2 linked regions of the Oryctolagus cuniculus genome follow. Each later gene encodes a partner of the first gene's protein in a complex. Links are inferred from orthologs where the notes say so. Each region holds a gene or a part of one and is shown on either strand. Other genes may lie near its edges. The genes, in order: KCNJ4 and TAX1BP3.

Region 1 (14,059 bases):
AGACGTGCGCAGAGCGCTCGGGCCCTGGCGGAGTTCCCACGGCAACCGCAAGCCACTCTCCGCGTCTCCCGAGTGACGAGGCGCGGGTGAAGACTCGGAGCCGGGATTCCTGGACTGGAGCCTCCCCGGAGCGAGGCTGGCGAGAGATCGCGCGGGCCGCGCGTGGACGGACCGCCTCGGCCGCCTGTGTCCTTGCGCTGGCTTTCGGAGGGCGTCTGGCGAGCGCGCTCCCCGCCCTGCCTGTGGCCACGCGCCGCCGTGCTTGCCTGGGGATTCAGGTGGTGGGATGGAGGCTTTGGCTGTTCCCCCCACCACAGGGCAAACCAGGGGCAAAGCCAGGCCCTGGCCGGGGTGGCCACGCGGGGCTGGAGGCTGGCACTGCCTGGGGTTCTGGTTCCAGCCCTATCAGTGACCCCTGTGTGTTCTTGACGTCCCCATCTCCTCTCTGGGCCTGGCCATCCCACAGTAGCTGTTCCCTGGTGGATGAAACAGGAGCGTAATAGCTACCTGTAAGCCTGCAGAGTGCCGGGCACACGTCATGGACCAGCACAGTCGCCCCCCTATTGCCGTCTTGCCCTCTACATCGTCCCAGCCCCAGGCAGCCTGGGTGGCAGCCGGGGTCTCAGAACTGCGTGCCCAGAGCTTGCAGCTCTGCCGGTGAGAGTCGGCGCCGCACCCCTTCCTGGGCGCCCTGGGTCTCAGACTTAGAGGGGCCCACAGGGGCCCAACCCCGCGTCCACCTGTCTGTCCACTTCCTCCCCATCCTCCACCCCACCCCCGCCATGCTGGGAGCATAGGAGTCCCCCGCTAAGTGAGGATGTCAGGCAGTCTCAGGACATGGCCCCCGACGGCCTCCATCAGGGTCCTGAGTTCCACATACTGGGCAAGGGTTTGGGACACCTGTGCCTCTATGGGCGTGTGTGTGTACAGGACTGGCGTGCACAGACCGGTGTGTGTGTGTGTGTGTGTGTGTGTGCGTGTGCGAGCGTGCTTGGGATGTGTAATGTAATATGTACATGTGGCTTTGTGCACCTGGCGCAGATGTGTCTGCTGGTGTGTGTGCACACTAGGCGGGCACGTGCGGGGCTGTACCGCAGCGTGCACAGGTGCAGGTGTGTAACTGAAGATTGCAGTGGCGCGCGCGGGGGGTGCACTGAGGGTCTCCCCTCATCTGGCCCAGGTGACAGACATGCCCAGGTCAGCCCCTGCCCGTGCCTCGGCCCTGTGGCTGCCCACATCTTGGGTGGGGGAGCCTGGGGCAAGGCTCCTGTGCCACCCCCCCTTTCCCACACAGCAGGAGCATCAGCAGGAAAGGTTGGTGGAGGGGGCTATTTTGGGAGCGTCTCCTTAGCAACAGCTGCCGCGGCCGTCTGTGGCAGTTTTTCTATAGGTGCTAAAATATTCCACCCTGGTGACTACTGAGTGCTGAGGGGTGGGCGAGGGTGGGGGTGGGGGGTGGGAGCGACCCCTAGGTCGGTCCTCCAGCCCCAGCGAGCAGCCCACGGGCTGAGTCCTGGCTCCTGGACCCCCAGTGGCCCCGTCCCCACCTCTCGACCTCAGTTGCAGACCCGTGGGGCCGCGGGAGCTCCGAGGCAAGCCAGCTGCGCCCTGGTCGGATTTCTGATCCAAGCAGCTGAGGGCCTCTGCAGAGCCGGCTGGGCGGCACCTCGGGGGAGAAACCTCTGGACTTTGTGACGGCCGCTCCAAGCGCCCGTCCCTCCCCTCCCCGGCTGCCCCCTCCCTCCACTCCCCGCAGCCCGCTGGCTGCACAGCCCAGTGGGACTCAGGAGGCCGGAGCAGACTCCCAGACTGAGCTGGTCAGCAGGTGCTCGGCCAGCCGGGAACCTTTCCCTGGAAACCAGGAACGCACCCGGTGCGAATCCCGACACAGACACTTGCTTCCTGCCTGCGTGAGCCCCAGCAAACACGCCCTCTGTGTGCCAGCTCAGTGTCCTCACCCATGCAGTGTGGTTGCTCCAGCCTCTGCTCACAGAGTGGCCGCGAGGACTGACGGGAGGCGGCAAACATCCAGAGGGAGGAAGCCTCTGCAGCATCTCACTGAGCCTCCGAGCCCGGAGCGCTCTTCAGAGAGCTGTCCGGGGCCGCCCAGGTGACACCGCTCACAACAAGGCTACCTGTGCCTCAGTTTCCCCATTTGGTAACAAGGGTCTGTGTCACAGAGCCCCTGTAATGGATTCAGTGAGGGGTGGCACTGTGCACTGTGGCGTAGGGGGTAAAGCTGCTGCCTGCAGTGCCGGCATCCCATATGAGTGTTGGTTCGAGTCCCGGCTGCTCCTCTTCCGATCCAGCTCCCTGCTGTGGCCTGGGAAAGCAGTAGAAGACGGCCCAAGTCCTCGGGCCCCTGCACCCACATGGGAGACCCGGAGGAAGCTCCTGGCTCCTGATTGGCACAGCTCTGGCCATTGCAGCCATTTGGGGAGTGAACCAGCGGCTAGAAGACCTTTCTTTCTCTCTGTCTCTCTGTCTGTAACTCTGCCTTTCAAATAAATAAGTAAATCTTTTTAAAGAAGTGTATACACTTTCACCTATATTTTTAAAAAAAAAGATTCCGTGAAGCAGTGGCTGCGAGGGTCTCAGATAGAGCTGGGCTCACAGCTCGCGTCCACTGGAGGCTGGCCCGCCTCTCTCCGCCCAGGGGTGACCCTGTGCTGGGTGATGACAAAGTTTCCTTGCCCTATGCGTGTGCACCCCAGACTGTCCCCTTACAGCTGAGGCCTCTGACATACAGAGAGGAGTAGCGACTTGCCCAGGGTCACAGGGCTCCCTCCCTCCTTCCCTCCCTCCCTCCCTCTCTGTCTGTCTGTCTCTCTCTCTCTCACACACACACACACGGGCATCTGCACCCCTGTTTCACGCCATCCATTCTCACCACCTCCTGCCTCGCACAGGTTGGAGGCCACTCACTCATCAGATGGACAATGGCAAAGTCTCCCTTTCATCTTTCCCCACTCTCAGATCAGCCACTCCTTCCCAGGTTACACACGGGGAAACTGAGGCCAGGTCACAGAGGGCTCCGTGGTGGAGGAGGGACCTCCCCTGGGGTCCCTGAGCCCCCTCCTGCCTGCAGCTGCCTGTCCCCACCTCCTCCCAGTCCATGGCCACAGGACTGAGCAGCTGCCCCCAGGGTAGCCAGCAAGGTGAGCATCCCTCCGCCCAGCCCCGACTCCTGCCCAGTGACCAAGCAGCGGAGGACTGAGCCCGTGAGACAACGCCCTGTTCCACTCTCCCCCTCCTCCACAGGTCATCTGCCTCGGCGCATCGGCCTGCCCGCAAACCACGGGAAGGTGTGCTAGGAGCGCACGTCAGGTTGCTGGAGCCCCCCTCCCATCTGCTCACCCAGGAGCAGCATGATGTGGCAGCATCAGGCCCCCCTGGTGTCTGCCTGTGACAGGCGCGGGACCAGAGGAGCCCTGTGGACGCCTGCGCGGAGAAGGGACAGCACGTTTGCTAAGCACTTACTATGAGCTGCACATTAACCTGCCTCTGCAGGAGGGGGAGGGGAGGGCCCCCATTTTGCAGACAGGTCCAGTCAAGTCTCTCTCAAGGTCACGCAGAGGTCCTTTGGAGCCCAGGCTGGCCTGTCTGCTAAGCTCACCAAGCCAGAGCCATGCCCATGCCCAGCCTGGGGCCTGGCACGCAGTGAATGACCTCTCTGAGGGCATCGGGAGGGCCTCTCTGGGAAGGGGCACGGGGCTGGGCTTGGAGAAGAGCAGGGGTTCTCAGGGGAAGGCGGTGGGGGTCCCTGCGCGTGTGGGCCCCTGGCTCTGGGAGCTGTGGGGACCAGGGTGTCCGTGTGGGCATGCAGCCGGCAGGGCTTGGGGCTGGGTCCTCTGGGGTGGGGGAAGGGAAAGGTCACGACCCTGGTGCTCCGTGTGACCTGTGCTGGACTCCCCCCTGGGCTTCAGCTTGGAGTAGAAGCCAGACTGCATTTCAGAGCCAGCCAGCTCTCCGCTAGCCACCCCAGTCTCCCTGTCTGCTCTGGGGCGCCAGGGCGGCTCTCCTGGCTGTCTACCCCCAGGGGTCCTCTCTCTGCCACCCTGGGGGGAGCAGGACTCTGGCCCGGCTCCTGAAAGGAGCGGCTGGAGGGTCCCCGGAGTGCCTGGGGAGCCGGACCGGCTCGCTGGCAGTGGGGCCGGGTGGCAGGGTGTGGACCCTCCTTTACGAAGACCGCTGAGTAAGACGGGTTTGGGGGGACCGCAGACGACACGGGCCTGGCGTTTGGCCACGTCTGGGTGACCTTGGGAGCTCTGACCCGCTGGTTGTCACTCTCCCGGCCCTGGCGCTGCCGAGACGGTGGTGAGGGTCCCTCCAGGAGGGCTGCCCGACCTCCCAGAGGAGGTGCGCAGGGCTCCTCACTGTCCGGTCTTTGGGACGGAACGGGGAGCGCCAAGAGGAGGGGGCCGGGCCCACGGGACTCCAGACTGGCCGGCTCCCACCCACCCGCTCCAGGCTCGGAGGAACCCTCCCCACCTGCCCCTGGGGGGGCTACAAAACCCGGGAGCGGATTCTCGGAGCGGCTTCTGGGAGGAGCGCTCCCGGGGCGAGGAGGAAAACCCGCGCAGGATCTCGGGCAGGAGCGGGGCACGCAGCCCCCCAGCCCCTGCCCCCGGCCGGCGCCGCAGGCCCCGCGGGAGCGGGTTGCATGCCCGCGTAGACTGAGCGAGCCGGGCCGGGTCGGGCCCCGCGGGCCGCCGGGGCTCCGGGCCGGGCGCGTGGCCTCCGCAGCGGGGCGCGGGTCACGTGTGAGGAGGGGCGAAAGTCTCGCAAAGCGGGCGGCAGGCGGCGAGTTGGGAGTTCTCGGCGCGCCGCGGGCCGGGAGCTCGGGCTCCAGGAGAGCCGGGGACGCGGCGGCGGAGCGGGGCGGGGGAGAGCGCCGGGCGCGGGGCGCGGAGGGGACGCTGGAGACGCGCGGGGGAGACAGGCGCGGCAGAGGCGGGGGCGCGGGGGAGACGGAGACCCGGACCTCGCGGGCAGAGCGCGGGAGGCGGGCGGCGCCGCGAGAGGGCAGAGACCCCCGCGCAGCCGGAGCGAAGCCGGGAGCAGCAGCGGCAGGGGGCGGCCGAGCCCGCGGCGGGAGCGGGAGGGTGACCCCAGGCCGGCGGCGGAGCGGGCAGCGCGCGCCAGCGGGACCCGGTGACCGACAGAGCTCTCGGCGGGGGCGGCCGAGGCGCGGCGGCGGGGCCGGGCGCCCCCGGAGCCCCGCGCTTTGAGCCCGCACCCGGGGCCGGATGATGCTGACGCCCCGGCTGCGCCGAGGGCGCGGCGCGGGGCAGCGCTGAAAGTTGGGTGGCCCGCGGGGAGCGGCGCAGGACGGCGCGGAGGTCCCGAGACCCACGCACGGACCGACCGCAGCCGGGGAGGGCGCGGGCCGGTCGGCCGCGTCCGCGGGGAGCCGCGCCGGGACTCCCCGCTGCCCGCGCGGACGCCGTGGGATGTAGCGCCCGCTCACCGCCGCCCGGACACCGTCGGACCCTCAACCCCGGGGTAAGCCGGGCGCGCGCCCTCCGCGGCCGCTGTCCGTCCGTCTGTCCTGCCGCGTGCGTGTCTGTCTGTCCCAGCCCGGCCGCTCTGGCCCCCACGGCTCTTCAACTTGTCCCTGACCTGGGTCCCGGCGCGCGTTTGGCGCGGTCCCGTGACTTCCCAGGAGCTAGCGGGCTGTCCGCGTGTCCGTCGAGAGCGTGGCGGTCTGGGTGGCGGCTGGGGAGGTGACTGGAGGAGACCCTGACCTCCTGGCCGGCCAGTGACCCTTTCCCGCCTCCGCCCACCCCCACCTCCCCAACCCCCACTGTCAGACCCAGAGCTTCAAGGCAGGTGACTGGGGCAAGGGGGTGGAGGTGGGGGTGTCTCCTTCCCACCTCCCCCCACCTGGCACGTTTGAGCACCTGCTGTGTGCCGGGCCACTCCAGGGCAGACGGGCAGGGACCCACAGTTCACAGGGTGGGAACCGAGGCTGGGCAGAGGGAGAAGTGGTGCTTCCGTCACGCAGGCAAGAGAGGTGTGAGACTCCCCCCACCTGCAGAACGGGCCCCCACCCACACTCCTGTGCCCTGCCCAGGCTGCAGGGCCCGGCGCCCAGGTTCAGTTCACCATGGAGGGCTTCCGGAGCAGTGGGTTGGCAGCAGCAGGTGGGGGGAACCCAGAGGGGCTGCAGCCGTTCGTGTGTGTGTGTGTGTGTGTGTGACATCCCCTCCTCCACACATACAGTCCGGTGCCCTCCAGGGCTCTAGGGTTTGGGGGCCTGAGGGGCCCCGGAGTCACATGGTGGCCCTGCCTGGCCTGCGCTGGCTGGAACAAATGGAAGAGGGGTGCGAGGGGCCCGAGCAGAGGCTGTCAGCCTGCCTGGGTGGATCCACATCCACGCTGGAGCCGGGAGGGCTGAGTCTGGAACATTCGACTCTGTTCCAAGGTGTGGGGGGGCCCTCTGTGGGGTTGTCTACACTGGGCAGAGAGCCTCATATACCCTGCATTCGGGTTCCTGAAGTGAGCTCAGCTGCTGAGATGGAGTGCCCTGGGCGAGCCACTTCCCTCCCTGACTCTCAACTTCCAAATCTGTGGAATGGGGTCATTGCTCCGCGCCCCACTGCCCTCCACTGGGGGGCGCTGGGCTGGGGAGTGGCTGGGCGGGTGGGAGTAAGGATTTTTTTCCTTTAGGGGCCGAGCAGCTCGTGGCCAGGGGCAGGGTGAAGGGACACTGCCCTAGGACAGGAGTGTCCAGGAATCAGAGGGACCTGTGGCTTGGGAGCCGTACCTCGTGGACCCTTGGGTTCCCCTTGAAAAGGGTCCTCTCCCGAGAAGGTGGAGCTGTCCGAGGTGACTCAGAGCTGGGTTAGGGTTTCTGCTGGCTGTCCTTGGGCAGCTGGCTTGACCTCTCTGAGCCTGGGGAACTGGACCTGGACGGACTTCGAGCTGCGCGCACGAGGCCGCAGGCTGGCAGCATCTTCGCGGATGTGTGCGGGAACTCTGGGCGAAGCAGCCCTGGGAGATGCTGCGAAAAGATTTCTGTGCTTTAGGCTAAGCGGGAGGGGGCAGGAGCCGTGTGGGCTCACAGGGCGGCTGCTTCTTAATGTGGATCTGGGGGAGGCGGGGGCGAGTGCCAAGGGGGGTGTGAGGAGGAGGGGCCCCTCTGCGGGGACTACTGAGTCACGAGGACAGGGACGCGACATGACAACCAGCAACATGGTAACCAGGAAACTAGCGGCGGTGGGAAACGGAGCCGGAGCGCGTGTTGGGGGGTGCGGGTGCGGGGCAGCGCTGGCTGGAGGGTCCCTGCAGCAGCCCGCCGGCTTCCCCCAGACAGGAAGGGAGGCCCGGAGACCCGGTGGGCCGGGGAGGAGCTGGGGGCCCGAGTGGAGGGAGGGGTCCGCAGGGCAGGGGGCTTCTCCTGCCTCCCAGGCTCCTCTTCTCCTCCACATCTCCGCTTTTCATGCCTCTCCCCCCCAGGATGCCAAATTTGGCTCACGCAATCTGTCGTCTCTCTTCTGAGATTGGCACCGGGACGAACGCCGAGCGCATTACATCACCGCTGCTCCCCTGCACGAGGGAGCGGGAGGCGAAGGGCCGGGGCCGGGGCCGGCGGCCAGCCCCCAACTTTCTCTCCCGTCTTCCTGTCTCCTCTTCCCACCTCCGCTGTAGGTGGTGGGATCTTGGGAGGCAGCTGGCTGCGGCGCAGGGCCCAGAGGCAGGACGAGGGGCGGGCAGTCAGGCCGTGGCGCTGCCCCCTGGCTGTGGTTGGTGGCCACCTCGGGCAGGGTCCACATCTGTGTAGAGAGCAGCCGGCCACGCCTGCAGTGCCCGCTCCCTGGGCGCAGAGGAGGCAGCCCTGGGTGTGAAACTGCTGTCCGTGACCTTGAGCAAGCCGCTGCACCTGCTTCTGCCTCAGGCTCCCCAGCGGTACAATGGGAACCCTAGAAGCCCTAGCGGCAACCCCCCCCCGCAGGGCAGGCGTGAAAGAGGGGACGGAACAGGCGGGGAGTAGGGGACAGACCCACAGGCACTGCAGGGGGCAGGGGAGACGGAGCAAAGGGGTCTTAACTGAGACAGGTGGCTTGGAGCTTCAGTCACTGGTGCCTCCCCGGCCAGGGTCACGGTGATGGTTTCAGGTGGAGGAAGCAGAGGCAGGCCTGAGTGCAGGAAGCGGACAGACAGCGCACCTGCTCCGAGGGAGGGACTCCTTTCAGGCTCACCTGAAGCCAGCCTCAGTCCCAGGCAGGGACAGGTTGCACTGGGGGTTAAGCTGGGTGGTTGTGGTTCATTCTAGAAAGTTCCCTGCACTGGAGGTAGAGAAAGATGGGGAGCCGCCGTGGCTGCTCTGGGAAAGAGGGGGCTGCTCGTTCCTGGAGCCGTGCCAGCAGGACCAGAGGCGCACCTGCCAGCCAGCCTGGTCAGCTGACGCCTGCTTCATGGGCAAGGCTGAATGACATTCCCACCTACAGGCTCCTGGGAGACTTTGATGTCCCCAAAGGAGGAGCTGGGACATAGCACCCACCACGCACCTGCTCCCCGGCCGGAACCCTCACGCTGTCCCACCAGGCACCGGGCCAGGAGGTTTTGCAAATTCTTTCATCGTCCCTGCAACACCCGCAGGGTTGATCTGAAATCCCCGAGTAGTTACAGACTCTTCCCAGGGTCACACAGCAAGGAAGCCGAGGGGTCCGGACCTGAGCTCAGATCCGCCTGGTTCTGGGGGAGGGGGCTGCCTCCGGGAAAGAGCGGGAGATGCTCCTCCCCCAGGCCTCGGTGTGGCCAAGAGGGTCTGCTCGCCCCCACAGCGCATCACCTGTGCAGGGATCCTCTGGGGGCTCCCACCCCACCCCCTGCTCTAAAGACAGAGCCACACGGGAGGGGAGAGCTCATTTTACAGATGGCAAGGCTGAGGCTCAAAGACAAGGCAAGTCCTGTCCCACGGTGCCCAGAGAGTCCTACTGGACGCGGCCCGGGGCGCCGTGCCCTGCACCACTGGGCAGTGACATCTTTGGGATGAGGGTGGGGCTTGGGGCACAGAGGGCTGAGGAGGGCCAGCTCCAGGCGAGGGCTGCCTGTGCGAACAGGCAGAGAAGCCGGCAGGGACAGCAGGTGTCACACACACACACACACACACACACACCCGCCCTGCTGAGGTCACAGGAAGCTGAGTGTGACACCTGCCTGCCAGGAGGGGGTCCTGAGTAGCCTTGAGTGCGGTTCCCCGGGTGACCCTGCGGCAGTCCCTCACCCTCTCCGCGCTTGGTCCGCCGTGGGACAGAGGAGCTGCCGAGGCGCCGTCCCACGCTCACGAGGCCCCTGGGCCCTGGCGAGGGGCGGGCGGGAAGCCTGGATGCTGGCGTAACCTTTAAGCCTCCTGGGCGGCCCCAGCGCTCCTTGGGGCGTGGGGGCAACTGCGGGCTCAGCCCTCCTTCTCTTTCTCATCTTTATTTTTCTGCTGCTCCCTCTCCCCTGGCTACGTGGGCCGATCTCTGCTCAAACTTTTAATTCAGATGGTAATTGGAATAATAATATGGGCTGAGTCCCCTCTGCTTGTGACGCCGCAGCTGGCGGAGCACGGCTATGAATAGACTTTGAGTCACACACGCGCGCTCCTGCAGGCGCGCACTCGGCGCTCACAGCCTGGTGGGCGGGGTGCAGCGTGGGGGCAGGGGCTCACGCTCCGCCTGGCTCTGGGTCTTGCTCCCCCAGCTGCTGGGGTGCCCTGGCCAGCACTGCCCTGTGTTGACCTGGAAGACGTGGGGTATCGGTGGTTCTCCTCGTCTGCAGAAGGGGAAACTGAGGCTCAGCAACGGGGGTGGGGGTGGGGTGCCGGCCCCACGGAACAGCTGGAAGGTGTCTGGACTCCATCTCCATGGGTGGGTTCTGCCTGGTGCCTTTGCAGGCTGTGGTGAGGAAAATAAACCGAGGCTCCCTGGGGAGCAAGAGTTGCCCAAAACCTCAGGGGAGGAAGCAGCCACATGCCCCCGTTGGACTGTGCACCCGGCCGCGGCCACGCCGGGAGCCCCGGGGGGCTCCTGTCTCTCCCTGTGACAGTTTACCTGCTCTCTGGCCAGTCCTCGGCCAGCGTGGTACCAGCATGTGGCTCCTGTGGCCTCGGTGGGCCTGAGAAGTGGGCTCTGGCGGATGGAGGAGAGTCCTCCATGGGTTCTCGGTGTTCCCACCCCCAACAGGAGCTGTGCGGGGAGAAGGTGGCGTTGTCATGGTGACCTGTCAGCCGGGAGCCGCGGTGGAGGCCTGCCCAGGTGGGCCGTGGCGGGGTGCAGTTGGACCTCTGTGTGTGGGGGGGCAGCTCAGGACTGGGACAAAGGAGAAAGCCCCCCAGCTTTCCCAGGGGCCCTGTGTGCTCTGCATCTGCATTTTCTAGTCCTTCTCCGGGCACTGTGGAGAGGCCACGGGGCTTTGCCCAAGGTCACAGTGATGGTGGCAGAGTGGGGGCTGGACCAAAGCCAAGGGCCACTCCCTCTGCTCCTCTCTCTCTAGGGCACCCCCTGTCTTTGGGGCTTGGAGGGGACCCCCAACTCCTGGGAAAACCCCAGGTTGCAGCCCCTTATCACAGCCAGAAGAGGAAGGTGCTCAGCCACTCACTGACCTGCGTGACCTTGACCAGGTCACGGTCCCCGCCCCCCCCCCAGCTCTCTTGGCCCCTCCCTGGCTTTTTCCTTCTGCTGCTCTGTCTGCGGCCACCCCAGCTCCCCCCAGGCCACAGGCGTGGAAGGGGACCCCAGCTTGGCCAGAGAGGAGGGGGACACGCCTGCTGTGGGAAGCTGATGCCATTCGGCTGGAGGGAGAGTGAGGCCCAGGGGAGGGGTCTGCTCAACCCCTCTGGGGCCACCCTGCCCCCTCCCCTGCCGCCCAGCCTCGAGGACAGACAGGACTGGACTCCGGGGCCGACCAGGGGAGGTGGCAGACACAGGCCGGAGGGGTGGCCAGTGTAGTCCCAGTCAAGGCCCATGGATGGGGGACAGAAGGACTGGGTTCGAGTCCAGCCCCACCGCTGAGCAGCTGTGTCACCTTGGCCAGGTTTTCCGCCTCGGCGAGCCTCCGAGCCCGAGCCGCGGGGGCAGCCTTGTGTCCCTGCGTCTGCAGCTTGCTGGGAGGACCCGGGAGTCTGCACGGGGGCCGGGGCTGCCGCCCTACTCAGTGGCCACCGAGTCCCAGCCCCCCACTCACCGGCCCTGACCCTCAGACACTGTGCCTCTGGACAGCTCCTGTGTCGGCGCGCGGCCTCCCCCGGCCCCAGGCCGTAGGGCAGGCGGGGCACCAGGCCAGGCTGTGCAGCTGCAGACCCCGAGGCCACCTGGCTTTCCAAAGAGCCTCTCGCTGTCTGGGCTCTGGGGCCGTCCCCCTGAGAGTAGGCGGCGAGTGAGCAGTGCAGGAGAGGGAACAGGTGGGTGGGGGTCCGTGCTGTCCTGGGTCCTTGAGGGGACAGGCCGGAGCACAGAAAGGAGCATGGCCAGCCAGCACGGGAGCTGCCAGCTGCGTGGACTGCACGGCACCGCCTCCCTCCTCACAAGCAGGCGGGCCGTCTGAGCAGGGGTGAGCTCCCTGTCCCGGGAGATATGTAAGCAGCTACTGAATGGCACCTGGTGGGGGACAGCAGAGGGTCTGACACGGGGCGTGGTGAGGCTCAGACGCAGAGTTCCCATTGCCTGGGCTGCAGTGTGGAGGTCCCACGCGGGGGGGGGGGCTCGCACCTGTTCCCAGCATCCCCCTTGGCCTCCAGCAATACCACCCGTGGGTGTGCTGCCAAAGGCCTGTGGCCTGCGCCTGAGCCGTCGCGGCTTCAAGACAAGCCCTGGGCCCCCCTTCGCCCCATTCTCGGGCCAATGCTTTTGAAGTCGCACTGAAAGTCGCCTCACTATGTAAGGTGGAAGGTGAAGTGGAGTTGGTGGTTCCACCACGTAAGCCAGTGTGAAGGCCCGCGCTTTTCTGGATGCTCCTGTGTCAGGGAGCACAGGACAGGGGACGCTGACCTGTGTGTGCCTGCACTCCGGGCCTGGGTAGCACCGAGAGAGGCCAGGTGACAGGGCGCCTTGTCCCCTCAGTGCCAGCTGCCTGGAACGGCAGTGTCTGCTCGGAGCTCCCAGCTCACCCGGCCCCTCCAGGTCAGCGACCCCAGCCCTGGGCCTTGAACCCAGCCGGACCCAGTTCCCGGCCCTGCCCTGCCCGTGTTCCCGCTCACGCTCGTCCCACGTCTCCCTGGGGACCCTCGCTTGGCGCCGTTGGCTCCCGTCCTCACGCTCACATGGGGGCTCGGGGAGTCCCTCTCCCTGGCACGTGGCAGGCGCTCAGCGAACGTTGCTTTGGCCAGCAGTTCCTCTGCGGCCGCGTGCTGTGGCGTGCCAGAGGGGCCGCTGTTCCAGCACAGGGTGCGTTAGGGACGAGGAATGAATGAATGAGTGAATGAATGAGGGACCTGGCTGGGTCTGGGAGTCTCTGGTCTGAGGAGCCAGCAGTGAGATGGTGAGAAATGGGCCCGCCTGGGGCGCCCTGCCCACACACAGCAGGCGTCCGTTAGTGAGAGTCCCTTAGGTGTGACCGAAAGAGCACTGGGGTGGCGGCCAGGCCGAGTGCTCCACAGGCAGCCCTGGCCCGGGTCCCATCTCTGCGGCCCAGCACCCGAGGTCCTTGGGCGCTTCCCGCTCCCCCGCCCAGGTGCTCTGTCCCATGCCCGAGGACTCCTCTGTCCCTGCCGAGAGGGGCTCCCTGACTGCAGCGTCTCCATGGTCACGCCGCGTCACAACCCCGGGCTCAGGTGCTGTGCCGTGCGTGAGTGCGTGAAGCGCTACGGGCTGGGCCCAGGGACGCGGGGAACAGCAGAGAACCCTTAAGGATGGCGTGAGTGGGATGGGTTTGGACCAAAAGTACTGGGAGGAAGATCAGGCGACTGGATGGAGCGGCCCTGGAATCGGGACCGCAGGGTAGGGGGCGTGAGTGCCAGAGGCTTGGAAGAGAGAATCCCAACCAGGAAGGAGCGGCCAGTGCAAAGGCCCAGGGGTAGGAGCTAGGCTTGGTGAGCCCAACGGACAGGAAGAAAGACCCCTGGGGAGTGCAGAGGGGGTGAGGTCAGAGAGCCAGGACCTCGCCCAGGGCTATGAGGCCAACCCCAGGCCATGGGGAGCCCTCGGCGGGGCTGGGCGGCAGCAGCTGTGGGTTGTCTGGGCAGTGATGGGGGGTAGTGATGGGGTTCTGCAGGTGTGGGGGTCCGGGCCCATGGTTCCCTGAGCCCCCTGCGGGGTGATACCAGCAGCCCCTGCCTCACAGAGGCTCAGAGGTGAGCCTGGTACCCGGCCCACAGTGCCCACCCAGCCTGGGCTAGTGGCTGTGGCCATTACAACCTGGGCTTGGAGAGGTTTATGGGTGGGTGCCCAGGCCTCCGCGCCTCCTGTTGGGGAGACAACCTGGGGCTGGGGGACGGAGGAGTGAGGATGGGGGTGCGGCTGCGCCTTGGCCGCGTGCGAGGTGTGTGGTGCCCCTGAGCCGACCCCTGGGGGCAGGAGTCTGCCTGTCGCTGGCTGGCTCAGGAGGGAGATCCGGCGGCGGTATTTTAAGCCGCAGGACTGGATGAGGTCACAGGGAGGGCTGCGGAGGAGAGAAGGGAGGTCGATGAGATGGCCGAGCCTGGGAGCTGCCGGGTGAGTGTGCGCAGAGGTGCGGCCGGAGGGGTGTGGGGCTGCGGCCCGAGCGAGCGGGGCGCCCTGGCTGGGGAGCTGGGGAGCGAGAAGGGGACCAGTTGAGGCCTCCAGCCGAGGCGGCCAGGCGGGCGGCGGGAGGCTGGGCGGTGTGGGGGAGCTGCGGGCCGCCCCCTCCAGACGGGCTCGTGTCTTCACGGCCGGCCACAGTGCGTGTGTCGCTCTCCACTTGATGCCTGTGACTCAGAGAGGTTAAGGCAGTTCCTCAAAGCCACACAGCCCCAGGTGCCGCGCTTCTGGGGTCCGCGTCCTTCTTGGGCAGCCGGCGGCACACACATGTGCACGCCGACTTCAAAACTTCCCGTGTAGGGGCTTCCCCAGAAGCAGTGGGCTCCGAAGCAGAAAAGACAGAGGCGGGGGTG
Region 2 (14,382 bases), on another chromosome or scaffold:
GGCAGAAGTGCGGGAGGCAGCAGGGAGCAGGGCTGGCCCAGCAGCATTGACAGTGTTGGAGCTGGGGAGGGCCAGGTCTCAGGGGTCTTGGGAGGGCTCCTGGGCAGGGGAAGGCATTGGGTGAACTAAGTCCTCAGCCCCAGGGAAGAAGGAACCCAGCTGGAGAGGTCTGGAATCATCCGGGCCTGCAGAGGCAGCAGCAGGTACGGAAGAGGCTGGGAGCAGACAAGGCCAGGAGCCTGACTGGGAGAAGACCAGCAAAGGGGCCCAGACTTCCCTCCTAGGCTGGAGGGAGGGAGAGGGCACCCGTCAGGGAGACCCAGAAGGCAGCATGGTTTGGAGAGGCAGCAGGAAGAAGGGGATGTTAAAGCTGGTCCAGCTACTAGCCCAGCCAGGCCGAAGTGGGCATCAGCTCCACTCTGCAGATGGGGAAACTAAGTCTAGGAGAACTCAGCAGCTTGTCCAGGATGGAACGGGACGCCACAGTGGGAAGTGTGCGGTGCGGGCTGAGTGCGGGGAGAGTGCAGCTGCACGTGTGTGGAGTCAGGAGACAGGAGACCAGCAGACAGCTTGGTCCACAAGGGAGCAGGACAGAAGGTGGCATCCGCCCCTGCCTCCACCAGTTGTGAGGGGCAGGGGGGCCTGGAGGAGGGCGTTTGCCTGCTGTGCACGCCAGGACCACCCAGACTGTCCCCTCGGCCGAGGCTCGTCACAGCCCAAAGGTCACTGTGTTTGTTGGAGCCAAGGCCAAGCACACGTGTGGGAGGAATTAGAGCCACTCTTGTTTGGAGCAGCAGTCACAAGGCACAGGCGGCAGCCACCCAGCCCCCTCACCGCCTCTGTCTGTCTGGCCCAGGCCTACATGAACTTTTACTACAAAAGCACCGAGGGCTGGAGCATTGGCAATGTGCTCCTGGACTTCACCGGGGGCAGCTTCAGCCTCCTCCAGATGTTCCTCCAGTCCTACAACAATGGTGAGTCACCCAGTGGGCTGCAGGCACGGGGGGGCCTGGCTTCCGGGGACCCCCTTCCCACCAGCCCTGCAGCCTGGTTCCAAGCCGATCCCAGCCCTGCCACCCCCCTCCAGGAGAGACTCCCACAGGGGCCTTTGTAGCTGAGGATTTGGTTTCCTGGGCAGGGGAGGACCCTCTCCCCGCCCCGGCCCTGCACTCCGGCTGCTTCCGGAGCTGCCAGTCTAGAACCAGGTTCTGTCCCCTCTGGCTGTTACAGACCAATGGACCTTGATCTTCGGAGACCCAACCAAGTTTGGACTTGGCGTCTTCTCCATCTTCTTCGATGTCGTCTTCTTCATCCAGCACTTCTGCTTGTACAGAAAGAAACCGGGGTACGACCAGCTGAACTAGCGCCCAGGGACCTGGTGGGGAAGGCCTGGCCCAGTGAAGGCCAGAGGAGTGGGCTGGTGCGCAGAGCTGGCCAGTATGCTGGCTGGAGGAGCACTTTCCCTGAGGGCCCAAGACCTTAAACTTGAACCAGCCCTCCTGCATCCAGGCCCTCCCTCGGGGACAGACAGACGCCAGACTCTGGTCAGAGATCAACAGCCAGCCCTCAGGCGGTCCTTGCCAGCCTCCCCGGAGGTCTCCAGCCTTCCGCAGGCCTCCCTGGCCATGCTGCTGGCCCTCCTGCATCTTGATGCCACCATCTCTGTTTTCTTTAAGGCTTCAGGCAGCACCCACAGGTCTGGCAGCCATCTCAGGCACGACTGGGCGCTGAGCTTGCAGTGGAGGCCTTGCCCCAAACAGCCATTGTTTCTGGGAGCAGCGTGAAGGGCTGGCCTTACAGCCGGCACAGCCAAGGGTGCCTTGCTGCCACCGCTGTTCTCAGAGACCCAGTGGTCAGATGCTGTGGCCGACGGACTGAGGTGCTGGTGCTGGTGGCGGAGGGGCCAGGACTTCGGGGTTAGGCCTTGGGCTGCTCGGGCTGAAGGTCACTTTTCCTGACACTGTTTCTGCCTAACTCGGCTCCCTCCACTGCAGCAGCAGTGGCTCGGGCCAGGGCCTGATAGAGTATTTCCCAGCCCCGAGCTGCCCATGGGTTGGCTCAGAACTGGACTCAGGCCAGCATCCTCTGGCCGTCTACCCCACAGTGAGCCTATCACACTAACTCCTTCCAGCCCTGGGCGAGGGAGGTTTCACAAGTGGCTGACTTGGTTCCGCCCTCTCTCCTACCTCTACTTTCCCCGAGCCCGGGGGCCCCATGGGCGCATGCCTTACTGCCCCTGTCTCCGCCAGTCTGTGCCTTAGGACCTGTCAGACCTACCTGAGTAGCACTCCTGGAGTGAGGGGAAGGCCCCCTGCCCTCATATCCCCCAGACCCTACCTGAGACCCCTTTTGTGCTGTTCAGGAGCCTTCAGTTAGAACTTGAGCCCAAGTCACTCAGTCTCCACGGGCCTACCCCTGGCACAGCCCCTCCCTTCCCAGCCAAGCTGATCTTTGTGGTGGGTGGAATGGAGGGGGGAGGGTCCCAGGAGGTGCCTTGAGCTTGTCAATCCACTCTTTTTACTACAAAATCCCTGTGAGGGGCCCATGCCCTCGATTAAACCTGACCTGTTTGTTTTCTGCGCACTCTAAGCACTCATGAGTTTCCAAGGCAGGTGTGGGACCTGCAGGGCCAAGTCCTTGGGGCTTAGGGAGACGCCCTGTTTGCCTCGTGTAAGGCAACGCATAGGGCTGTGAAGTTTGCTGACCCAACATGGCCGAGTGCTGACCCTGCACATCATTCATCATGGAGCCCTCTTGGGCAGTGCAAGACGCCTGCACACCCAGGGCCAGGTAGGTCTCACAGGTACCACGGCCTGCTGCTTGTGCTATGGGTGTAAGCAGGGGCGGGTGAGGTATGGAGGGCGTGCTGCCCCTGGGAGCCCAGCAGTGGAGGCCTTGCTCTGCAGATCCTTGTCCAGCTGTAACACATGCCGAAGATGACAGCCAGCCTGCCATGTCTGTATACGCTTTAAAAGATCTCAGAATCTTGACTCTCCTTTAAGAATCACACCTGGCAGTGCGAGACGGATCCAGGAATGGCCACAACTTCCCAGGGCTGGTAGGCAGGGGGCTGGGTACTCTGCTTGGACCCAACTGGCCAGACCTCAGCCCCTGGTGACATCTGGGGTTGTGTCCTGGCTGGGGCATGTTTCCCAAGACCCCCTGGGTGTACGAGGTGCAGCCCAGGTGGGAGCTGAAACTGAATTACACAGGCGGGTTTCAGGCATTCAGGGGCCAGTCCCGGCCCCCACCCCAGTTCCAGTGCAGGTGCATCCAGATGTGGTCCTTGCCTGCTACAGCGGTTCCCACTGAAGCTCCAAGGTCCCACCAGCTCGGCTTCCCTGGCAAGAGGACCTGGGAATGGTCGGGCCTTGTCTTCTTGCCTCAGAGCAGCCAGGGACAAGCCAGCCACCCTGTGCTCGCCCTGAGCCACCCGCACACACCACGCCCCCAGCCCTGGCAAAGAGCTCTCATGGATTCCAGCGTTGTTTATTGGGCAGATGTCAGAGGTGGAACAGTGGCCTCCAGCCCCGTTTCCATGGTAACCAGAGTGAGGCCTGTCCACTTGCTAGGAGCTGCCCTGGATGTGAATTAGTAAGCTAAATTACAGAGCAGAGTGGGCATCTCCAAACAGTACAATAAAAAGGCTTTGTATCAAAGTTGGACTAAAAAAATACAAAAGTTAAACCCACAGGCGTGGAGGACAGTGGCAATCCTGAGATGTCCGCCTCAGAGCTCTGCTAAATCCTGCAGGCAGGCAGGCCCCAGGGAGGCCACCCCTGGGAAGTGGGGTGAACAAGGGGCCTGCCTGCCTCCCCTGGGGCAGGCCTTCCCAGTGCCTCTGGCAGCATGGGTCCAGCCCCTAGTGGACAACACGGAGAAAGTGTGGGGCGCAGGCACTGCGGAGGTGACACGGGAGGCAGGGCAGGGTGGGAAAGGCGTCCCCCCACCAGCCTTCCCCAGCTTTGGCGGCTCTCAGGAAGTCTTTCCGGCTTCCCTGGGGCACTGCTGTGCAGGCAGCAGGGTCTGGGGGCTGAGCCTAGGGTCACTGCAGCCTGGAAGCCACTTGGCCCCAGACCCTTCTTCCCAGCCCTCAGTTTCCGAGGGAGCCAGCTGGTCCCAGAGGCCTCGGGCTGGGGGCGGGAGTGTGACAGGGAGGCGGGATCAGGCCTCTGGGATCAGCTGCGGCTCAGCATTCAGCCACAGGCGGGACGTGGGACAGATAGCGCGTGGGTAGTGGTGTCGCTATACAAACAGGCACGAGCCAGGGAGCCTGGCGGGCTGCTAGGAGAGCATGGACTGCTGCACGGCCTTCTGCAGCGACTGCCGCGTCACCAGCAAGCGCACCACCTCCTCCGACCGCTTGGTGAGCCGCTTCCGGGCCTGGTCGTGTGTGACCATGGTCATGTCCCAGCCGTTCACCTGGCCCACGGAGAGAACAGCCCAGCTCAGCCCACTGCCCTCTGACATCTAGAGGCCAGGGGGCTTTAAGAGGCCTGGGTCACCCCTCCACCTAGCGTCCCTGAAGTACACAGAGGAGAGCCGGCTTCCTCCGGGGCAGTACCAGCATGGGCTCCAAAGGGCTTTGGTGAGTGTCTCCCAGCCCCCACCCACAAGTGTTTCAACCCCTCTAGCCCCAGCCATGTTTTCCTCCTCTGGGACACCTGTTACCTGCATGATCTTGTCTCCAATCTGCAGGCCAGCAATTTCAGCAGGGCCTCCTTCAGACACCCGTGTGACATAAATGCCCTGGGAAGAGAAGCCTGGGTCAGGCCCTGTGGCCCCTGGACTGGCTCTCATACACAGAGGAGGCCCAGTATAGCACACCCATAGCTGTCCCTCTGTCCCTGTCCCCAGCCTCCCCTGGCACACAGCTGGTGAAGGCTATGCCAAGCAACCAGGGATGCCCCAGCCCTGGCTGAGGGCCACCTCCCGCTCCTCCTGGGCAGCTGGGCAGACCGACCTCCACCCCTACTCTTTCCCAGCCGATCATTTCCTGGACCCTCTGAGATGGGGTCTGCTCTTCCCACACAGGCCCAGGAAGCAGTGCCCACCCTCTCAGGCCTCCGGTCCCCCTCACCTTGTCTGTCTTGTCCTCCGAGAAGGGGTTCTGGGAGGGATCCTGGTCAATGCCCCCTCCAATGCTGAAGCCCAGGATTAAGTTCTCCCCTTGACGCAGCTTGTGAATTTCAACTCTTTGCTGGCAAACAAAAAAGGAAGCTGGCTTAGGTGGGCATGTAGAGAAGGCCTCTGGTAGTGCCAGGCCAGCTCCGAGCCGTGCCAAGGGGTGGGGCCCGGAGTCCCCTACAGGAATGCAGCTGGTCCCCAGCCCTGGAGGCTGACCCCCTCACCCAGTCCTGCCCTCCACTTTCCCCCTTCCCAGTCTCAGGTGCCAGTCTTAGTCACAAGTGCTCACAGCCCCTCCTGGCCTATGAGCCAGGGCTCCACCTAGGACACGGGGTGGGAAGGGCCAGGCCCTGAAAAGGTGACACTGCCGTTGGGAGCCAGCCTGTCACAAGCAAGGCAGGAGGTGCTGGGACAAAGTGGAGCAGATCAGCCGGGGACAGAAGAGGACTGCAGATGCTGGACGTTTGTGACACTGGCACCTGCAAGGTGAGATGGGGCTGGTGCCAGACAGAGAAGTCTGGGATGCAGGACCACCAGACTGGTCCCAGATGAGGTCAGGGGTCTCCTGGAGCCCCGGGCCCTGCTCATGCACAGTGCAGGTGGCAGAGAAGTGTTCTGGGGCTCTCCCAACATGCTCTGGGGCTGGGGTGCTCAGAGCCTTCAGCAGGCACCCTCAAGTCACTGCTGGGAGCCACACCAGATCAAAGCTGGGAGCTGGGGGGGAGGGAAGGTGACTTGCTCGGCCCTGAGGAGGCTTCACCAAGGAGGGATCATTTTGAACCAGGACTTGAGAGGATGATCAGGAGTTTGGCTGCCTGGCCTTGACCCTGGAACCCAGGGGAGCTGACCAGGCTTGGGGAGTAGGACAGGGCATGGTCAAGTTTGAGGCTAGAACAACTACTTGGGCAGTCAGAGCAGGTGCCTCAGAGGCTGGGGTGGAAGCCTGGGGACAGGAATGCTGAACACGGCAACATTCCAATGGGGGGACCCAGGAGAAGGAGCAGGTGGGGCTGGAGTGCTAGGAGCCATCCGGGAAGGTGTCCAGGAGGCAGATGGTCAGGGAGAGGCCAGGCCCACCCAGGCGGCTCCTGGTGCTGCAGACCTGGGCGCGGCATAGTCTTACAGCCTGAAGGAAGACCTTGGGCCCACCTGTGGCATGGGGTGGGGAGGAGGAAGCATGAACCCTGAGGCCCACTGGGTCCAGTACCCAAAAGAGGGCTCCTGCAGGTCCATCCCACCTCCTCCAGCACATGCCCTCAAGGGAGAAAAGCGCACAGCCCTTGAGGTGGGAGGGCTCTGGCACTGCCTCGCTGGGTGCTCTCTGGCCCCTCCCTTGCACCACCTTTATTCCACTTGAGAAGCAAAGCTGACCCCTAGCCTCTGGGCAGCTGTTGGGCTCTGCAGAGCTAAGCTGGTGCCCGCAGGGTGAGGCTCAGGACGGCTGTCAGTAGCTAAGCAGGGCCTTCTCCAAGTTCACCCTCGTGCCACCTTTATCAGCAGCCTCTTTGCCTGGCTGCAGGAGCCCATGGGAGATAGCACAGCCAGTCCCTGCGGCTCCAGGGCTGGGACTTTGGCTTGACCTCTCACAGGCGGAAACCTCTGGGGAGCTGGGCAGGAGACCTGGGTCCTTCCTGGCGGCTTCCTTTATGGCTGGGCGTAACCGGACTTCTTTCTGGGACTCTGCGGGAGGGGGAGGGGGTGGCCTCCAGGGCCTACTCAGCTGGGACACAGACGTGTGGGTGTCAGCTCCCTTTCTCCCTTCGCCTGTTCTGACAGCACCTGGCACACGGTGCGCCGAAAGTGCCAGGCGGGAGACCTGCCCCTGGCCCCAAGGGCTGGGGATCCAGCAGCTGAGAAAAGGATCTGGCTGGTAGGGTGCGCATTCACTCCAATGGGGCAGGGGCCTCCCTCCGGCCAGCCCCACCCCCAAATCTCGCTCCTCGGGGCGGTGGCGCCGGCTGGAGCGGAGGAAGCACTTCCTCATTCCAGAGGCTGCGACTCACGGACGTCGGGCCGGCGCCCGCCCCCCGCGGCTGCCCAGCTGGGGGCACCGAAGCCCTGCGAAGGGGCGCTTTCCCAGACGCCCGCATCCGGAGCCTTGCTCCCCCGTGCTCCCCGCGCCGGCAGGCCAAAGCAGCCTGCCTCTTGGGCGACGGTGCGCGGAGTCTGGCCTCCGTCTGGAGCCTCGGGAGGCTCCTAGCCCCCAGAATGAGCTTCGTGGCCGGAGGAGGCTGCGGCCGCGCTCCTGCAGAGACCCGAGCCCTGACAGCGGGTTTGCACGGGCCCCCGCCCCGGTTCGCTGCTTTGCAACCTGACTGGGTGTCAGTTTACCGCTCTGAAAAATGGGGGCAAGTCGAGACGAAAAAGAGCCCGCGCGAGTACACTCACCACCACCGCAGTGACCGGCTGGCCCGGGATGTAGGACATCTCGATCCCAATCTGGTAACCGGGGACCGCTCAGCGAAGCCCGCAGCTGGGATTGCCGCGGCCGCTCCCTCCCTGGTTAACAAAGGCACCCTGGCTGGGCACGCCCCCTTATGAATAGTTAACAGATCTCCAGCCAATCACCGGCCGGAGCGCTGTTCGGCTTTCGGAAGTCCCGGAGCGTGCGTAGAAAAGCGGGGAGAGGGTGGAGCGTGCCCGGCGCGCAGGCGCGAGAGGCGTAGTTGAGCCAGCGCGCATGCGTAACGGGCCCTCCCAGCATCCTCCAGCACAAGATGGCGTCCCGGGGGTCTGTCCTGCTTCCTGTGTGAGGGAACGCTGGGACTATCCGCCCGCCGTGTTCCAGGTAACGGGGCTCTCCTGGCTAGGGGACACAGGCGTGTCCCCGTTCTCCCGGCCGGCAAGAGCCGTCAGCGTCCTCGGCGTCTTTGGGGAGACGGAGATCCAGGACTAGCGCCAGGTCTCGGAAGCCCCAGGGGGAGGGGGAGGCCATGGACCCTACTCGCCGCGCTCCGGGCGCCACTTGTAACTCGGTTTTCCCCACAGCCGCGCCTCGTTCCGCGAGAGAGCCCAGGCCGAGCCCCGGCGGGTGCGATGGCCGCGGTGGTGGGCAAGAGGGAAGGGCCGCCGTTCATCAGCGAGGCAGCCGTGCGGGGCAACGCGGCCGTGCTGGACTACTGCCGGACCTCGGTGTCGGCGCTGTCGGGGGCCACGGCCGGCATCCTCGGCCTCACCGGCCTCTACGGCTTCATCTTCTACCTGCTCGCCTCCGTCCTGCTCTCCCTGCTCCTGATCCTCAAGGCGGGCAGGCGGTGGAACAAGTACTTCAAGTCGCGGCGGCCGCTCTTCACGGGCGGCCTCATCGGAGGCCTCTTCACCTACGTCCTCTTCTGGACCTTCCTCTACGGCATGGTGCACGTCTACTGAGCGAGGGCGGGACCCGGTCGGCGGCGCTCCGCGTAGACTCGCCGAGGTTTTCAAAGTGTTGAGTTCGCTGCTTGTTCTGTAACGTTATACATAACTTATCTCTGAGGACGACGAGCCCGTAATGTTTTCAGATTAAATGAAGTGTGAGACGCTTTGTTGGACCCTCTCTCCTCCTCTAGCGCACGGGCTGGGTGCGGAAGCCGAACAGGTGGGGGCTGGGGACTGGGCGCTAACCTGGCCAGCTTGGGGTAGCGTCTAGGAGCTATAGACGGCATGGTAGTGCTGGGTGGGCTTTGATCTCACTCGATTCTGTTTATTTTTTTAATTTGTTACAGGGAGGGAAGAGGGGGGAGAGGGAGGGAAGTGAGGGGAGGGGGAGGGAGAGAGAGAAAGATCTTCCATCCACTATTTATCACTCCCTTTTATGGACGCAGCAGCTGGAGCTGACCTGGAGCCTCTTCTGGGTCTCCGGGTGCATGCTGCTTTCCCAGGGACCTGGGTTGGAAGTCGGGCAGCCGGGACTGGAACCGGCGCCCACAGGGGATGCTGGCGCTGCAGGCCGGGGCTTTAACCCACAGCGCCGGCCTCTAGCCCCCTTGCTCCTGGCAGTCTACTGCCTCACTAAGGGGCTGCTGTGGCTGGGGCTCAGTGAGGACCAGAAATGCTGCTCGCTGGGAAGGCCCAGGGCCAGGTGTCAGGCCTTGGTCTCGTAACTTGCTCTCGTTGGCCGAGTGTGCCTGGAGGGAGAACTGTGTCACTTCAGATCCCTTTCACCTGGCGACACTGTGCTGCCTTTCCCATAAGAAAAAGCAAATCCAAGCTAAACTGGGTGTTTTAACATGGGGATACCTCTGCCTGTGTTAATCCATCACCTTTCTTTTCAGGAGGGTTATCTTAAGTGCGAGTGCCTAATCGAGAAGTAAATACTGCTCCAGAGTCGCAGTAATGAACAGGTTGCTGCAAGAATTGATAGTCTGCCTGGGGAGAGCAATACTCTCTGTGGTGAGTGGTATCAGGAGAGAGTGGTAGGGCCCTGGCCCAGCCCAGGGGGACGTGGAGGCCCAGGACCGCGGCAGCAGACACCGCTGCGTCTGCAGCCTGGAGGGGAGGGGCTGTCTCATCATTAGATGGGACAGGAATTCAAGAGCCTGGACCCAAGCGCCCGTTTCATTTACTGAGCCTAGGTGGCCCCGGCCGACCATGGAAGGGGATCTGGGACCCGGCCTGAATTCCGTCCGGGCCCCAGGCCAAAGGCTCGGCACAAAGCCAAGGAGCTGCTCCTCCGTCCACCCCTGAAGCGCCCGGTTCAGGTCTGCCCGCCTGCCCCTCTCTCCAGGCGTTGGAGGGGGAGGGAGAGCCAGTCCTGAGGCAGAGGCGGCAGGAAGCCTGGCCTTGAGCAGACCCTGCCCTGTTGGGCACTGAGTGCCTTCCGGTTCGCAGCATTTTGAGGGGATTTAACAGGCCGCCCGGGCACAGGCTAAAAGCTGGGTTCCGGAGTCACCAGCTTCTACTCGTTGATTGAAAAGTGTCAGTTTGACCCGTGCCTTCCCAGTCTTCACGCATAACATAGGCCCATTTCAAGGGTTTCCACGCTTGAGTTTGAATTTCTCTGCCAGATAATGAGGAACATGCTACAGTGCTTACTCACTGTTGGGTCTGCCTCTTTCAGTCTCTTCTTCTAAAATCAGGCCAGGTTTAAAATGGACATCTTTTATTTATTGTTTTAGAATTACATGAAAGTATCCGAGAATGCACATCTTGGACGCCCCCCACGGTCTCTGCCGCCTTCCCTGGCCTCGGGGGACAGCAGGCAGAAAGGGGAGAACAGGTGTTCCTGGGGCCCCAGGTGACTGCCCTGAGGGGAGCTGCAGCTCTAGGGAGGGGGTGGCTTAGACCAGAAGGAGCCCTCCCAGACGTTGAAGACGCCTTTCCACGTGGCGCGATGTGGGAGCACTGGCTGGCTGCTCTGACACCCAGAGATCTTGCTCCCCCTTCACAGCTGTTCCCGCGGAGGAAGGAGGAAGACCCCAGCATCAGGGCCAGGGCACTTGGCTCTCTCTCAGCTGGGTCCCCGTCATGTCATACGGAGCCCACCCAGTGTACAAGTCTCCCACCAGCCAGGGTGCGCCCAAAGGCATTTCTCAATCTCTAGGAAAATACCAGGTGGGCAGGCGTAGGCTGGGCTCAAGCGTGACACTCAGGCGATACACAGATGCGGGAGGAGCTCCTGAGGGGCGGGAGCTCTCGCCCTCCCGGGAAGCAGTGTGGGCCCAGAGTGAACAGGGCTTGAGCAATGCCGCTCCTGCCTCACGTCTGCCCCCTAGCGGCCAGTCTGTAGATCAGTGAGATTGTGCAGGGGAAAGGTGAGACGCGGGCACAGTGCAGCACTGCCCGTGGGCTGGGACAGGGCCGCAAGCATCTCAGAGCCAGGGGCCCTGGACACGCAGTAGAGGCCGCCTGGAAGGCTGGGCTGGCCTTGAGGAAACAATGAGGTTGAATAAGTCCTCCAAGGCAGTAGGTTTCCGGGGCAACCCTTGCCAAATGAACGCTGAACCTGGGGGCAGCCATTGTGGTGCAGCACATTAAGCCACGCCTGAGTGTCTCCGTTCCATATTGGAGCGATAGTTCCAGTCCCAGCTGCTCCACTTTCAGTCCACTCTGCTAATGCACCTGGGCAGGCAGCAGAACACCCCAGATGGGGTTCTGGGCTCCTGGCTTTGGCCTGGCCCAGCCCCAGCTGCTGAGGCCATCTGTGGAACAAACCGGTGGATGGAACATTCTCTCCCTCTCCCTCTTCCTGTTGCTCTGCCTTTCAAATAAATGAATCTTTCTAAAGAAATTAAAAAGCCAGCATTAGCCGGCGCCGTGGCTCACTAGGCTAATCCTCCACCTTGCGGCGCCAGCACACCGGGTTCTAGTCCCGGTCGGGGCGCCGGATTCTGTCCCGGTTGCCCCTCTTCCAGGCCAGCCCTCTGCTGTGGCCAGGGAGTGCAGTGGAGGATGGCCCAGGTGCTTGGGCCCTGCACCCCATGGGAGACCAGGAAAAGCACCTGGATCCTGGCTCCTGCCATCGGATCAGCGCGGTGCGCCGGCTGCAGCGGCGGCCATTGGAGGGTGAACCAACGGCAAAGGAAGACCTTTCTCTCTCTGTCTCTCTCTCACTGTCCACTCTGCCTATCAAAAAAAAAAAAAAAGCCAGCATTGAAAAGGAAGTCTCACACAACCTACTGCAGCGGAGTGCCTTCACCCCGCTCCTCAGCTGCTCGTCTCGGGGTCAGAGCGCCTTCACGCACAGGTAGCCCCTCACTAGAATGGCCCGTCACCTTCCAGACTTCAACCTCTACACGACCTGGAAGCCCCGTCTGGGCACTGCCGGCTGAACACAAAGCACCCTATCCCGGCTGCAGGATGGGTTGGCCACCCGAGTAAGGCTTGCGCTGACACGAGTCCACACATGACACAGGACAGACACGTCCTAAATCCTGATTGACCAAACGAATGACCACCCAGAGCCATCTCCAGGTTAAATGGCTGCTGCCACGCCTTCCTGAAACCAGGTTAGGAGAAAGCAGACCAGTCCCTCGGCAGCCGTGACCCCTGCCCTTTGAACTTCCTCCCAAACATGAACAAAGCTAGCCCATAAAACCCAAGGGTTTGCTCTCTGGGTCACCCAGATTTCTCACTGTGTACTCAGCAGGTTGGGCTCACGGACAGGATCCCAGCCACCCCAAGGTTAGGAAGGGGCTACTCTGCTCTGGGCACCACGCCTCTCTGCCAGGCCCCAGGGGAAGGATGCTCACCGCCCCTTCTGTGCACTGAGAGCACCGTTGCCAACAAGGACGGCCCCACTAGCCAAGAAGTGGCTCAGACCCAGTGCCTGGGCAGTCCCTGCTCTCTGCCTGGCCCGTCAGCCCGTCCGGGCCCGCAGCAAGACACAAGCTCCAGCTTCCTCACTCGGGATTGCACGGGGAAGCCTCAGACACCGTGGCAAAGGGAGAAGCCGGCCAGCCAGCTCTCCATGCCCTATACTGAAGCTTACCCAATGTCTGCTTCAGACAGGTGTAGCCATCAGGAACCATCTGGAAACTTTGATTTCCCGCAGCTAACCGAGGAGAGCCTCAGCCACGCAGGGGAGCCCTGCAGAGCAGGTGGGGATGCCTCATTGCCTGCGCTTTCCTACCCTTCAACGTGGAATCACCAGGGGCGGTGTGTTTGGCACAGCATTAAGACACCATTTGGGGCCGGCGCCGCGGCTCACTAGGCTAATCCTCCACCTTGTGGCGCCGGCACACCAGGTTCTAGTCCCGGTCGGGGCGCCGGATTCTGTCCCGGTTGCCCCTCTTCCAGGCCAGCTCTCTGCTGTGGCCAGGGAGTGCAGTGGAGGATGGCCCAAGTGCTAGGGCCCTGCACCCCATGGGAGACCAGGAGAAGTACCTGGCTCCTGCCTTTGGATCAGCGCAGTGCGCCGGCCGCAGTGCACCAGCCGTGGCGGCCATTGGAGGGTGAACCAATGGCAAAGGAAGACCTTTGTCTCTCGCTCTCACTGTCCACTCTGCCTGTCAAAAAAAAAAAAAAAAAGACACCACTTGGGATGCCTGCATCCCACATGGCAGTGCCTGGGTTCCAATCCCAGCTCCAGGTCCCTGCTAATGCACACCCTAAGAGACAGCAGGTGATGGCTCAAGTACGCGGGTCTCCGCTACCCACGTGGAAGACATGGGTTGAATTTGGGGTTCCTGCCTTCAGCCTGGCCTAGCCCCAGACAGGGGAGTAAACCAGCAGATGGAAGTTTGCTTTCTCACGCATGCTGTCTTTCAATTAAAATGAAAATAAAGAAAAATTTAAAAATAAATTTTGAATCATTGTAAGTAAAACCACCTGGTCGAAATATTTTAATTTCAATAAATTCAGCATAAAGCCACTTCCGGGTGGGAGCAGGGAGGGATGCTATTGGTCTCAAGGCAGCAGGTGTGTCAGTCTGGCCCAGAACCGGCCCCACCACAAGGCTGCCCTGTGCACCCCGCAGAACCAGGCTTCCCCGACACTAAGATGCACTTGTGGAAGCACCGCACTGATTTCGCACGACGAGGGTGGGGCCCAGGGTGCTGCACCTCTACTAGGCTTCAGGGCAGCAAAGGCTGAGAGTGGGCAGGGGGAGGTGGGGCCTCCACCCCCCACTCCATCAACTGGTCACACCTGTTGAGTGCGCGCCACCTTGAGCTTATCCGCACTTTGCACAGAGCCTGGGGGCAGCCCAGAGCCTCCCCTTCCCCATCTTACCCGAGAGAGAGGCACGTCCAGGCCCTCCTGCTTGCCTCCTGGGCCTCCTTCACTTTGTATCCCTGAGGGCGAAGCCAAATGCCCCTTTCTCTGAGCCACCAGCGAGCGGCGGGATGCCTGCTGGCTCTGGCGGGAGCCCCAGGGGCCATCCTCCCTGGGGGCCAGGCCAGCGGTTCATGTAAGAGTCCCTTGGATAGGGTCCAGCGCACATCACGCGTCAACAAGGGCGCACTGCAGGTGCACACCACTGAATGTCCAGCCAGGGTCCCAGGACTGAGGAAGCCTGTGCACTGGCACACAGGGCCCCGGGCGGCCCCCTTCCCTGGGCGTCTGCTCCAGGGCTGCCCCTTCCCAGCTCTCGGTCACCGTGGCCGCGAGGGGCCTCCAGAACACTTGTGGTGCAAGAGACGTGGCTGTGCCGGCCAGCCTGGTTCCCCGGAGGCACCAAGATGTCCTCTCCCCAGTTCACAGCTGTGAGGGTTCTGGCCCCAAAGTCCTCATCTTCACCGAGTCCACTCCCGGCCAACGGCCGCAGCTATGCCTGCTTTGCCTCCGGATTCTGCGGCAGCTCCACGTTCACACTCTCCGGGGAGCCAGGCCTGGAGC

The links.
Region 2: the proteins of KCNJ4 (region 1) and TAX1BP3 are in contact, whole or in part, in a crystal structure (PDB 3GJ9), measured with the Homo sapiens proteins. The link is inferred for Oryctolagus cuniculus from reciprocal best matches to the Homo sapiens genes KCNJ4 and TAX1BP3. Residues at the interface, in NP_004972.1 of Homo sapiens: Arg440, Arg441, Glu442, Ser443, Ala444, Ile445; in NP_055419.1 of Homo sapiens: Leu27, Ile28, Leu29, Gly30, Phe31, Ser32, Ile33, Gly34, Gly35, Asp38, Gln39, Gln43, Asn44, Thr58, Arg59, His90, Asp91, Arg94, Leu97, Thr98.

What each region holds. Positions count from the first base shown.
Region 1 is NC_091442.1:115,101,855-115,115,913, reverse strand, and holds the start of KCNJ4 (inward rectifier potassium channel 4), read left to right. Parts: upstream 1-4,569; 5' UTR 4,570-5,505; intron 5,506-14,059. UniProt on the Homo sapiens protein: Inward rectifier potassium channels are characterized by a greater tendency to allow potassium to flow into the cell rather than out of it.
Region 2 is NC_091448.1:48,980,040-48,994,421, forward strand, and holds TAX1BP3 (tax1-binding protein 3), read right to left. Parts: upstream 7,770-14,382; 5' UTR 7,555-7,769; coding exon 7,516-7,554; intron 5,614-7,515; exon of another isoform or gene 5,441-5,613; intron 5,201-5,440; coding exon 5,081-5,200; intron 4,750-5,080; coding exon 4,672-4,749; intron 4,589-4,671; exon of another isoform or gene 4,423-4,588; coding exon 4,285-4,422; 3' UTR 3,474-4,284; downstream 1-3,473. Other genes in the region: CTNS (cystinosin), read left to right, coding at 857-974, 1,231-1,345, 1,677-1,731; EMC6 (ER membrane protein complex subunit 6), read left to right, coding at 7,808-7,915, 8,116-8,496; P2RX5 (P2X purinoceptor 5), read right to left, coding at 14,312-14,382. UniProt on the Homo sapiens protein: May regulate a number of protein-protein interactions by competing for PDZ domain binding sites. Binds CTNNB1 and may thereby act as an inhibitor of the Wnt signaling pathway. Competes with LIN7A for KCNJ4 binding, and thereby promotes KCNJ4 internalization.